Linked DNA regions of Caenorhabditis elegans. The protein of the gene in region 1 purifies or fractionates together with the protein of each later gene. This does not show direct contact. Each region holds a gene or a part of one and is shown on either strand. Other genes may lie near its edges. The genes, in order: let-711 and ccr-4.

Region 1 (5,063 bases):
CAATTATGAAGTAAATTTTTTAAAAATCCAACTTTTCTGAATTGGTGCCTGTTTCAATTCGGTGACAAAATTTTCAACAGAAGACAACAGCGATACTCCGTAAATCTCCATTCGCCTGAGCAGAGCCTCTCTTCCAGAATCAAGCAATGCATCCTTCACAGGTTGAGTGAACTTTGTATCACCGAGCCGGGCAGTTGTAATCGTATCAGCCGCCTGAACATCCATGTCAATTGTCCCACCACTTCCAGCTGGTAATAGTTTAGTATTCGAGTAGAGAAGGAAGGCCAGTGCTTGAACAATTTCAGTGTTGTCCGGGTTGGAACACTGTAATTTTTTTGTTTTTGGAAATTTAAGGGTTTAAAAATAATAAATTATTCTCACCGATATCAGATATTGTACAAGTTTGATTGGATCGGTAGTCGAACTGATGATAACTTCTTTCACTTCTTTCTCCAGAAATGTCTGTACTATTTCTATCAAAGTTTGTGTTGTGAAGTTGCCACGTGCAATTTGATTGTATATTTCAGCACCTTCCGGAGAGACGCCTTCAAAATTATTTGTAATGTAAAAAAAATTGAATTTAAAAAAACGGTACAGTACCCCACGTATCAGATGTATATTCACAGTGACCAAGGAACAAAGGCTGAAGATAGTGACGAAGACGCCGGCTCTTGGCGAGCTTGCTGATAAACGGAAGGACCACCAGAGGATCGAATAAACCGGCTAGCTGCAAAAAAGTATCAAATAATTAATTTGAAAAAAGAATCAAAATTCAATTTTTAATTTAGCATTTTATTTATTTAGAAAATTGAGAATAATCTTACATGCAAGACTAATTGTTGGGTCTTAATGATAATTTTGAAAATTATTCTCAATTTTTCATGATATTTCAAATTTTGCAACGAAAAAAATCAAATGGCTGATTATGCCACGCCCACTTTTTTCAAGTTTTCCAATAAAATAAAATGTCACTTCTTGGTTTTTCATTTGTAATTTCAAAAAAGACGTCACATTAGAAATATTTAAAAAAAAAACAAGAAAACCCAGTTAAATATGCCGAAAAACAGGAAACTCTTCAAAAAGTGGGCGCGTCCTAATAAATCATTTGAATTTTATTTTTGCAAAATTAAAAAATAATTTAAAAGTAATCTTTTATTTTTAACAATTTTTTTCTGAAGAAAAACTGCTTTATCACCAGTAATATGGCAGGAGAAAAGATCGACAAGTAGCAGAGAAACTGTCAAAGAAAAGCGTCGTTTGAATAAATGTGTAATAGTTATATGACGCCAATATAACACCATTCATCTACTTTTAAAGGGATTCATCGTAAATTAGAAAAGGCTTGATAAGAGATAAGATCAAGAACAAGACCAAATAAACTGTATTGTCTGGAAAATCTGGGCGCTAGTCTACAGTAACCTAGTCTTGGCCTAAATTAATATAAATAAATATATGAATTAAATGATAAAGGATTAGTCTCTGGCCAGTGGACTTCTAACAATTGACCAGAAGGCCTAGAGATTTGAAGAAAGAGAGAAAAATGTGATATTGTGTATATGTGTGTGTGCCTTCTCAAGAGAGTTCTCATCCCGTGAACTTTCTTTATATATCTGTGTCTCTCTTAATCTCGTGCTCTCTTTCAATGTTCCCGTAAGCTAACAGAGGACCGTCCGTTCCTAAAGTCCATCTCCTCTTAGTCTTTCTTTCTTTTTCTCTCTGTCTGTGTGTGACCACGACGATCAAATGTTAATGTTACAGCACTTTTCGCATTCTGCGTCTTGTCGTTATTGTCCGGCACGGGCGAGAAGTGATTATTTGTATTTTCACTCGAAGAATCATACGTTGGGAAAAAGAAAAAATAGGAGAGAGTGCAAAATTGGGAAGAATTAAGGATCGAAAAAATTACTTGAAACTAAATATTTAGATTCAAGATTTTTATATCACTTTGAAAACCGTCTATGAATGGAAATTAGGTAAATACACTTTTTGAAAAATAAAAATAAATTAAATATGGTTTAAAAATTTTTTTCTAACTTGAACAGAAAATTATAAAAATTATAGAAAGTTTTTGAAAGGCTAAAGTATTTTTGGAACCTAGATGCTTATAAATTTACTTTTGTCGAGTCGAATTTTAACGTTTATCTTGGGTTGAATAAAGTTTCAACTTCCCAGAAAATGGAGTTTATATTATTTTCAAGGGGATAGCTTTAGTAGGAAATTTTGAAAATTTAAAAATAAAAACTCACTTTCTTGCACAAATGGGTCAATGTCTTGCTGGCAACCATATCATCCATGGTCTTCGTGTATGCATAAATCAAATCACAGAGAGCCGAAGTGAGACGTTGAGCTCCAAGAATCTCTATTCCGCTTCGATTAATTTGTGTAACTGTCGAATAGGAGAGTATCTAGAAACGAAATATTTTTGAATAAACACTATGTAAAGAAAGCTTCAAAACTCCAAAAAAAAAGCGCTTACAGTGTGAAAAAGACTAAGGGCAGCGTCTTCTTCAAGAAACTTTTTCGCCGGTGCTTCGATTTGACAGAAATTGAATGCAGAGAGAATGATATTGGCTGCATGATTTGGCAATGATGGTGATGAACGACCACAAATGACTACGAGACGCTGAAAAATAGCTTTTTCCTCCCAAAATTTTAGTTTTCATTCGATTATCCTACCTGAATCATGAACGAGTGAGGTTTCACACGATGAATACTGCTATGAGCAAGAAGATTGTCGATATAAGCACAAGAGCAACTATTCAACACGAATCCCATCGGCATTTTCGACAAAAGCGTGATGGTGCCTGCAAATTTTTCAAAGATTTCAACAACATTGTGAAATTTATAAAACAGCTTCAATAAATAATTTCCCTTCATTAAAAAAAATCATAAATCGTTTCTTGAAGAACAAATTACATATTTTTATATTAGCTTAAAAAATACTCACCTTTTTTGGAGATAGGTCTCTCCAAATTCTCTCGATTCCGAATCATATGATTTTCCTCCACACGAAAAACGGGGGCCAACCCTGAAGTTGAATGCATTTTCAACAACGAATGGGGCGAAAAATGAGGAAAAAACGAATTAAAAAGTTTGAAAACTTAAAACTCGCGCTAATTTTTGTGAAGCGCATTTTTTAAAGATCAAATAAAACTATGTGAAGAAACAGTTAAAAATATTGAAAGATTGGCGCCGTGCCAAGATCCGTTCCGTTTTAATTCTAGTTTGTAAACGACACTCCGAAATTCCGAGGCGCGTGTTGTTTAGTGTACAGCAGAATGGAGGATCGACAGCTGCAGCTGTGAGAAAATGAGCACCGATCCATGAAATGTGTCGAAAGTTATAAAAAAAATGTGCACCATAAATTTTATAACTTTATAGCAGTTGACCAAATCACAATCATACAAAAAACATGCGCATGTACTTCGAAAATGTTGAAAAATATCCGTTTTTAAGAAATTGTAATTTTTCCTGTGAACGTTTTATTATATTTCAATTTTGCTTCTTGGTTACCGTATTTTTGTGGCCACATTCTCAAAATTATTCATCTGGGAATATAATATTTGGATGACATATGCTCTGTTTTGAGTACTCCATTTTTTTTAAATTAAAACATATTTGGGCGTGTCGAGACAGGGTACTGTGAATCGGCAAAATTTCGTATCTGTGTAATAGTTTAACTTTGAATTGTGGATTATCTGAAATACTGTCACATTTGAATGCCTCCCCTGACAACTAATTCCCGTTCGATAAAAAATAAAGTACAATCCCATAAATCGTTCATCAGATGTCACCACCCTGTCAAACTTCTCGCTGTTTCAATTTCTAAGGCAATCCGTACGCACGGATTTTCCTCTTTTCTCTCTCTTGTTGCTTACAAAAGAAAAGAAAAGAAAAGATAAAAATCGTGGTTGTAGGGAAAACGATGGGTGAAGAAGGAGGCGGTGTTGATGGTTCTGGACATGGAACATAAACGATCTCATGTCTGACGCTCTTCGTCTATTCATACTATTTTCGGATGACAAAGCTAAAAACCCGTTCCGCACCAGTTCTCTGCGTCTCTAAAACATCCAGATCTTCTATTCTTTTCTCCAGAATCGCAAGAAAAAGAAGAAGCTGAACCTCAAATCTCAGTTCTTCTTCGATTTCAAAATTCCAGTGATGTGGCTCCTGATAGCTCTTCTGCCCTCTGTGGCTCTAGCGCAGAACACCTTTCAAAACACTATTTTTGACCTACCAGCTCAGCTAGGTGGTGAGCCAGTTGGTGTCGCTGCTCAAGCTCAGGGAGCCCCACTTTTTGTGCAAACCGCTGATCAGAAGCCACCAGCAGTTGCCGCGCCACAGCTTCCAAATGCTGTTCCAGTAGCACCACAAGCTGCTGTCACACCAGCTCCATTCACCTTCCCAACTCTTCCAACAGTTGCTCCATTCACTCTTCCAAGCCATCCAACATTGGCTCCATTTACCCTTCCAACTCATGCTCCATTCACATTCCCAACTCATCCACCATTGGTCTTCCCACCACCAAGTACTCCAGCTCCATTTGTTCCACCAAGGTTTGTGATTGAAATGACATTCGTAAGCGAGTTGCGCATAAGAAATGGAAAATTGGAAATTGTTCAGTTTGATCTTTTACCGATCAACAAAATAGTTTTTACTATTATTTCAAATAAAAAAACTTCATTTCCAAAAGCGAGATTTCCCATTCTAGGCTATTATTGTACTATGAGTGGAAATTAGTTTCAGGTTTCACAACTCATAATATACTTGTTAGTTCATTTCAATTTTACTTGTTAGTTCATTTCACTTGTTAGTTCATTTATACTTGTTTGTTCATTTCAACATTTAAAATGCCCAGTTTTTAGCGTTATCTTCAAAATATTCAAAACATCTGGTTTCTGTAGAAAAGCAGTACAAACCAGTATGCTACCTGAAAACGAACAGAAACATCTACTGTATTTCTAATTATAATTATAACTATAGTTGTGCACACCTTTTTTTTATTTGGCAACTTATTTGAGAAGTTTTAATTAACCAAATGCCGACAACTGTATAGATTAAAA
Region 2 (7,992 bases), on another chromosome or scaffold:
AAAAAGCTAGATCGAATTGCACAAATAACGAGATTTCATTATTTTTTTCAAACTGAAAGTAATCTGCGCCTCACGTTCTCGTACACTCTCTCCCTCCTCTCACACTGCACACCTACACCGTAACCGATCGTTGCGAGACCATTTCGCCGTGAAACCCTCAGTATACGAGTCACGAAACAGAGGGGATCTACTACAAAGAGAAGAAAAAGAGACGAGAGGGGGACTAAATGGAATAGAATGGAAAAATAGACTCTTCCATGAAGAAATCGAAGACAATCGAAAAAACGGAAAAAATATGAAAATGTTTTGAGTGGAATAAAAAGAATCGAACACCCCAGGGGCTACCAAAATATACTCAATAAAACTGATCAAAAGGAGAAAAAGAAAAACTAACAGATAAGAAATGAAGTGAGGGAAATAAAAGGGTCGGATCGAGGGAAGAGGGAGAACTCGTAGGAACAAAAGAAAAGTATGAAAATGCGCGGCGATGGAACATAATTCAAATATATCACAATTCAAACGAGTTATCAATCGTAATTACGAAGGACTCTACGTAAGTTTTTTATATGAAGAGAGGGAGAGAGTGGGGCAGATACAAGAGCACACAAATTGAGGTATGAGACAGAATGGTGAGGGAAGAGAGGGAGAGCCAGTTGTACACGAATTGAAGAACATTGCAGATGATGATGGGGTCAGCACCTCAGGAATGGTTGGGCTCCTGAAGGTGTTGATGGAAATCCTCCTCCAATTACACCAGCTGCAGGACCAGCCTGTTGAAGTGGTTGCTGTCGTTGATGTGTTGTTGGTATGATTGCATATTGAGCCATAATTGGAATATGATCAGATGCTACATGTGGATGAGGGAATCCTGGAAAACAGGAAATTAGAAAACTTTTAAAAGAGAACTTCCGATAAATTTGTTTGCATTATTATACTCAGAATGCGCATGAATAAACGAATTTCAAAATTAAAGTTTTCAAAAAATGTTTAAACAATTTTTATGTCGATTTCAATATTTGAAAAAGGCAAATTTTAGCTAAAACTCCAATGTTGGATACTTTTTCGAGTCGCAGCGGTCGGAAAATAATTTCGATGTTAAATTGTCCTCTAATTTTTAGTTTTTTTTTTCCATTTTTGTGTTTTCTTTTTATATTTTATAGATTAATAAATGATTAGCGTAAATCGACACGAGACATACAGTAGTCATTTATAGAATTACTGTAGTTTTCGCTAATTTGAGACAAACGACTAAACTATGCAATAAAGGATGATCATCAAATAAAAGTTAATTACGGAGCACTGTGACATAAAAAAATAGTAAAATTGGAGATTTTAGCAAAAATCAGCTCATTTTTTAAAAGAAAATTTGAACCGTCGTAGAAACTTTTTTTTAAAGAAGACTCATTGCAAAATTCGTTAATTTGGGCGGTTTTTAAGTTTATCTAAACAAGCAAAAAATCGAGAACTATTTTTAAAAAAGTATATTTTCTCACCAAGAATCTTATTCGACTGAACCCACTGTGGGTCAAATGGTCCAAGTATTCCAAGTCTCGCGAGTGACTGTGGTGTTGCGAAAATGTAATCAATCATTCCTTTGAAATCTAATGTGTAGTTTGTGAATGGTATCGAATTAATGTCACAAGCCGAGTCAAGCCTCAAGGGATGACTGATCACATTCTTGTCCGTCGAGTTGGTGAACTTTTCAAGACAAGAATCATCACGGAACGACTTCAAATCCATATGACGACGTGTTATTTGTCCTTTGGAAAGATATTCAAAGACACCAGAATCCGGAAGGGAATTGAAATCACCACATATGAGAACTGGAACTTGTTGTTGCGTGATCTGATATTTCTTTGATACTTCTTCGAGTACTCTTGATACTTCATGAGTAAGCATCATTGATTGTACCAATTTGACATCACAGAATTCAGGATCCCAATGAATATGAGCGGTCGCGACGACAAGAGGATTTCCGACCACGTTGTCATTCATTGGAATTTGCATCCGTCCCAGGAATTCTGCAAAAAAAAACAAATGTTTTTTTTTTAATTTAGAAAAAAAACTCACTGTTAGCGTAAACGCTTTCCTTGATCTTCAGCACAGCGCACAATCCAATATTATCTCTTGGCATGACACGATTGAGCATATTCTCACTCGTAGACGCCTTCTTCATCGCCACACTTGAAAATTCAAACAGATATTGCTTGTCCATATCAAACTTGTCAACTTTCCAAAAGATTGCACATCCATCCACATACTTTCGTTCCTCTTCTCCCATTGTCTTGGCACGCGATTTGGCTTCAAAGATGCCAGCATAACCAAGTTGCTTGAGTTCAGGTTGGAAAAGTGTTCGGAATTGTTCCGTTTCAACTTCTTGCAGCGTGATCACATCTGCTTCGTAGGTTCGGATCTCTTTTATGATGAGCCCTTTTCGGTATTCCCAGTTGAGAGCCCAGGAAGGACAGTACGAATATTGATTGACCGTAGCGTACTTGTCACACAGCACATTGTAGCAGAGAACGGTGAATGTGGCTGAAAATTAAATATTTAATTGTACTACAAAAATTATAAATTGAATGAAAATTCAGCATCAGAGATGTGAGGCACATTTTTCTTTTTGGAAAATTATATAGAAATATTCGTACTTTCGAATAATAACTTCTCTATCGCTCTAAATTTTTTACAAATTTCTCAAAAACCGACTCAAATATAAATCAGTTTTTGAGCAACTTTACAGAATTTCATTTCAAAGTAAGGTTATTTTCAGAAAGTAAAAATATTGCTCTGCTTTTTTTTAAATGAATTCCAAAGAAATTTCTGCTCAACAATGCTTCTGATATTTTTTCACTCACCAATTGGTCGTTCCGGATCTGCATGTCGGATCATTACCCAGTTTCGTTCCGGTGGAGGATGAGTGTTAACTGAAATTTCATAGTTTGTACAGAGTTCCCTTTTCATCAAAAATATATTCACATTTTCCCCGGCAATTTCCGTTTCGTTTTATGATGGCCTAACTAGACATCCTAGGGCTTTACTGTGTTCAATCCCACTCGATTTCCTTTTTGAGGCAAATATTATACGTTCAGAGATGTCGTCGTCCCCCTGTCTCTTTATGTAAACGTTCGTGACAAAGAACGAAGCGTAGAAAAAGAGAAAGAATATAAAAAAAGAAGAAGAAGACGATGAACGACTCGCAATTATTCATGACCGCTCACAGAAAGCGACAAAAAAAAAACAATATGACTAGTTGAGCGGATTCATCGAAGATACATACGGGAGAAGTGAAAAGGGCGGTCACTAGTATTATATCGGCCATATTGTGATTTTTTATTGGTTCTATGAAACTTGAAACTTGGATGAATAATGCTTCTCTAAACTATGAACTCAAAACTTCTTTATCTGATTTCCCTTATTCAATTCTTTCAAACACTTATTACCAGCATAACCATCTGTGCCATTTTAATTTATTGTTCGATCAACGGGACTGAAGATGAAGAGGCCGCCAATATTGAAATGTGTCAAGTGCACTCTCCCTATTCATCTTTTTCTATTCTCATTTTCAGTTTTCTAAACCGACGGAAATCCAAAATGAACTGAGGATATGGATAATCAAAAGAGGAGTTGACTTTTTACAGTAATTTGAAATCCCTCACTAGTTTCTTTTTGTTCATATTCAGGTTTTTGCAAAGTGGAAAATTAGAGGCTCTATATTTGATCTTTCCATACAAAAATTCCCAGACACAAGCGCCATGTTCAAACGACCAATTTGTTCTACGCGCCGTCACCACCCGGTGGCCTCATCCATCCATCGACTCGGACGGCTCGAAACCGTGTGTAAACATATCGTGCACCGGAGGGCAACCCAAAACACTCTTCTCACCGTCGTCAAAACACGGTGTGTTCTCTTTGCCTGTTGGGATAGATGGTGGTGAGCTGGTGATCCGAAGGGGGAGAAGAACACACTTCAAGAGAGAGTGAAAGGATCATTTGTAAATAACACGTTTTTGTGCATTGTTTCGATGCTTCGAACATGTCTGTGCTCCGTAATTAGAAAAACTGCGATTTATTAGATTATTGTTTCGGAGAAAATCAAGAAACATTGCAAACATTTCTATCAGATTTTTCCTAATTATCTCAGAAAACAGCTTCCAGTGTCTCACAAATCACCTGGTCAATGCTTATCCATTCTAATATCACTTCCTGCCAGTCCTCGCGCAATCAGTGATACCAAAACAATCCGACTTTCCAATGTCTCTAAACTGCCAACCATATTCACACTGAAGATGTGGAAGGATGTGACACCGTCCGAAAATGGCGACAAAAACTTGTTAACGCTTAAGACATACACACACCATCACTACCGTCAAGCCGTGATGTCCACACTCATACACACACACACCGTTGCCATTGCCATCCTTTTCCTGCCATTATGCTACAAATAAACGTACACGTTCGCCCCATATCTTCTTTGTCGTCCGCTTCTCTTTCTCTCTCACTCTTACGTCAAAATATGGCGTAATCACCATCGACCGATCGTACTTTTCAATGCCAAAGATGCGCAGAGATAACGGCGAAAAAGATGAAGCTGAAGCTGAGATTCAGGTAGAAGACATATGGAGAGAGATCGAATAGATGGAAATTTCGAGATTAAAATTTTACAATTTAATTAGGAATCCAACAAACTCAAGATTCAACCTGAATATTTTATAATCACAATTGCTCGTAACAATTTTATTTCAGTCACGCTTGTCAAAGCTAAAAAACCGCCAATCTAAGTGAACTGTCTATAGATAAGTGAAAACAGAACATGTTTACGATAGCAATCTGGAAAAAAACTATCGGAGAAAAGAAACAGAAGGAAGAGAAGATTAAGCTTTATGAATATTGTGGTGAGATAGTAGTAAAATTTGTCTCAAGTGAATACAACTTTCACTAGCTGAATCCTATTGAACTTTGGGAATGAACACGTACTTACCATGAAAATTGAATGGAAAACATTGGGACTCAGACATTGTTCGATAGGGGAAGCTTGAAGATTTTGGAAATGAAGAAGACATTTTCAAAAAGTGTGGTGAAACATCTTCTTCAGAATTATTCGAGATCGAACTCGGCGATGTTGTAGATGCTTCCGAGATACTTGCCATAGAGAGATCATTGGTTATCAGTGTGAGAGCACTGTCTACCGGTTTCATAAATGATGCATTTGACGGTTGTTGATACTCGTACCAAGAAGTGTGGTGATTGGAATATGATGGTTGATGATAAGCCTGATAATGGTATGCATCCGATATGGTTCGTTGGCAAGTTTGATGAGTATTGTATCCGTAAGCTGGTGATAATCCAGATGAAATCTCATGTTTTCTTGATTGAAGTATAGTAATTGGGAAGCTTCGAGTGTGTCCCAAATGTTGTTTTTGACGGGATTCATCATGTGTCAGAAATTCATAATTAAGATCATCATCTACAACCATCACACCACTTCCTAAAGCAGCCATTTCAACATAATCATAAACATGCGGTGGCTCTGGTGGTCTATACTTCTGATCCTTGATTCCATTTCGATTATGCGACGATGGATTATTGAATGCTGTATGTTTATGAGCTTGTTGAAAATTTGCATCTATCGGAGCTGATAGATTTTCGCTCTCCTCACAATTTCGACGTCCTTGTCGTTTTTGTAGCAGCTCAGCCCATCTTCTGGCTCGTCTCACAAATCTTTTTCCACTGGAGTTTCTTCTCGATGGCGATTCGCCGTCTCCACTGTCGGCCATATTTCAGAGGGAACTTCAGTACATTTTCGAATAGTAAGTTTGGATGGCCAGAGTTGGTGCACGTTTAAAGGATGAAAAAAGAGAAATGGAGTAAGAAAAGGGAAAGCAGGTGGAATATATGATGTAAAAAGAAAAGGACGTTGGTGAAAGGCAGAATGGGGGAATACTCTCAAAATGGGAAGCTAGTCAGGGCGGAGCCTTGTTCCCGTTTAAAACTCATGCAATGTGCTTCTGCCGCCGGCTGCTGCAGAGACACAAACACACGAAGGGGAGGGCGTATACAACGAGGGAAGACACTTTTCCGAAATGGGCGGAGACTGTTCGATCCTTCCTCGCAACGACGAACGGCAGAGAAAGAAGAAGCCGTGTAGAAAAAAACGAGGCGAATATGAGGAGGACTCGGGGGACGTAAGAAGAACAGATGATCATAAGCGAAGAGCTAAATAGTGCTAGAGACGATGAGTCGCAGACGAGCGTCGAACTAAAAACCGTGTATACGTATGGCGGTGGTGGTCACTGCGCCACCATTGCTGCGTCTCTATGGTTTATCTCTCACACTCGTGTGCCGCTTCTTTTTTAGAACGTTTTCATGTACACTGGATGAATGGCTGGACACACCGGCACATTAAACATGATATGTCGAGATTTGCGTGGAGGTTTTAAGAGATAAGTGTTCTTCGGAATGAAAAAATGAATTACTTACTATTAGAGTAAGTTATTTCATTTTAATGAAAATTAGTTTCGTTCTTCTAATTTTCAGGTAACACTTTTTTCTCTTGGAAATATGAGCCATTTCGTTGGTAGTGTCACAAAAATCATATAGTACTGCATAATAAATTATTACGAGCCTATTACAATTTTGTTTCCTACTGGTTTTCGTACTATATGATATTGTGAACCTATTTTTTAAATATACGAAACCAGTTAAAAACTTGTCTGCATTATTTTTCAACACCATTTTCTCGGTTTACACTGTTACTTTTTCTACTGATTCGATTACGATTATGAACACGAACACCCTTCAAGTATTGGTATGGCAATGCTTTTTTCATGACCACTTTCACAACTTGAAAGAAGAAACATGCCCCGAAAGAGAAAGTAGTTTGTGGCATGGGAAATCAAACTAACACGGATAATAGTGATAACGAACATCCTCTCTGTCTAATCAAGTGAGGGAATTGTGAATAAACTATAAGAAATGCAGAATTATCTACTATTACGTCATTCGGGGGATACAAGTGAAAGTTGAGATGTGTCAGACATTCAGGAGGGAAAAGCACGTCAATTCAAATCATATATTCTAGGTCGACGTCGGGAATCTTTGATGAACGATGCATCTTGTTTTTATGCTCCAAACACTAGACCGAACGCTTATTTTTTGACAGCAAAAAGTAAAAAAGTAAACTTACTAGTCAGGTGATCGAGTAGAAATTGCAATATCTTTTGCGCACCGTTGGTCTCGTGATAGATCTTGCTGATTTCCGGCGACAAAGGATTTCCTTGCAGACCGAGCGTCTGAATCCGGAAAAGCTTTCCCAGCTCATAGGGCAGCACACGGAGTTGATTATTGTTCAGGTACAGATGACAAAGACTGATCATATCACCAAGTTCTGTGGGAAGTGAGCGGAGCTTGTTGTTCGATATGTCGAGCATTGTCAGATTTGTCAACTGAAAAATGGGTTTTTGGTATGAAATTGGATTTTTCAAGAAGATTTTAGATGAAGAATAAAAGAATATAATATTTATTATGCTGATTTGTTTTTTGGTAATCTTTTTTTTTGCAATTCTACAAAATGTCCTACTGCCCCATGTTCTCCAACAATTTTTATTTGAAATTAGTGTCAAAATATTTAAAAAAAAAAATTTTTTTCTGAAAAAAAAAATTTCTGCTGGAACATTCAGGAAATTAATCAAAATGGTCGTATCGATTCATCGAATTTTTTTCCGGTAATTTGCCACTTTCAGGTAATTCTTGAGCATTTTCATAAATGTTTCAGGTGAAATAAATATTATTTTCAGATAAACTGAATGATTTTCTATCTTTTGACACTAATTTTGAATGAAAAATGTTGGAGCATCAAAGTTTAGATCATTTTGTAGAATCGATGAAAATAAGTGCCACCGCCGGAGATAATTTCCACACTAATCGGATACCTGAGCAATCTCCGGTGGTAACCGTGTCAGTCCATTGTTGTTAAGAAAAAGAGCTGAAAGATGT

What was found.
Region 2: the proteins of let-711 (region 1) and ccr-4 purify together in Caenorhabditis elegans (affinity purification with western blotting, with the first as the bait; one study listed by BioGRID). This does not show direct contact.

What each region holds. Positions count from the first base shown.
Region 1 is NC_003281.10:6,944,746-6,949,808, reverse strand, and holds the start of let-711 (CCR4-NOT transcription complex subunit let-711), read right to left. Parts: upstream 3,092-5,063; 5' UTR 3,045-3,091; coding exon 2,948-3,044; intron 2,805-2,947; coding exon 2,677-2,804; intron 2,624-2,676; coding exon 2,477-2,623; intron 2,406-2,476; coding exon 2,247-2,405; intron 728-2,246; coding exon 601-727; intron 546-600; coding exon 382-545; intron 325-381; coding exon 33-324; intron 1-32. Other genes in the region: abu-13 (Activated in Blocked Unfolded protein response), read left to right, coding at 4,162-4,556. UniProt on the Caenorhabditis elegans protein: Scaffolding component of the CCR4-NOT complex which is one of the major cellular mRNA deadenylases and is linked to various cellular processes including bulk mRNA degradation, miRNA-mediated repression, translational repression during translational initiation and general transcription regulation.
Region 2 is NC_003282.8:12,363,327-12,371,318, reverse strand, and holds the start of ccr-4 (poly(A)-specific ribonuclease), read right to left. Parts: upstream 6,046-7,992; 5' UTR 5,775-6,045; coding exon 4,979-5,774; intron 2,925-4,978; coding exon 2,856-2,924; intron 2,536-2,855; coding exon 2,071-2,535; intron 2,022-2,070; coding exon 1,494-2,021; intron 869-1,493; coding exon 693-868; 3' UTR 1-692.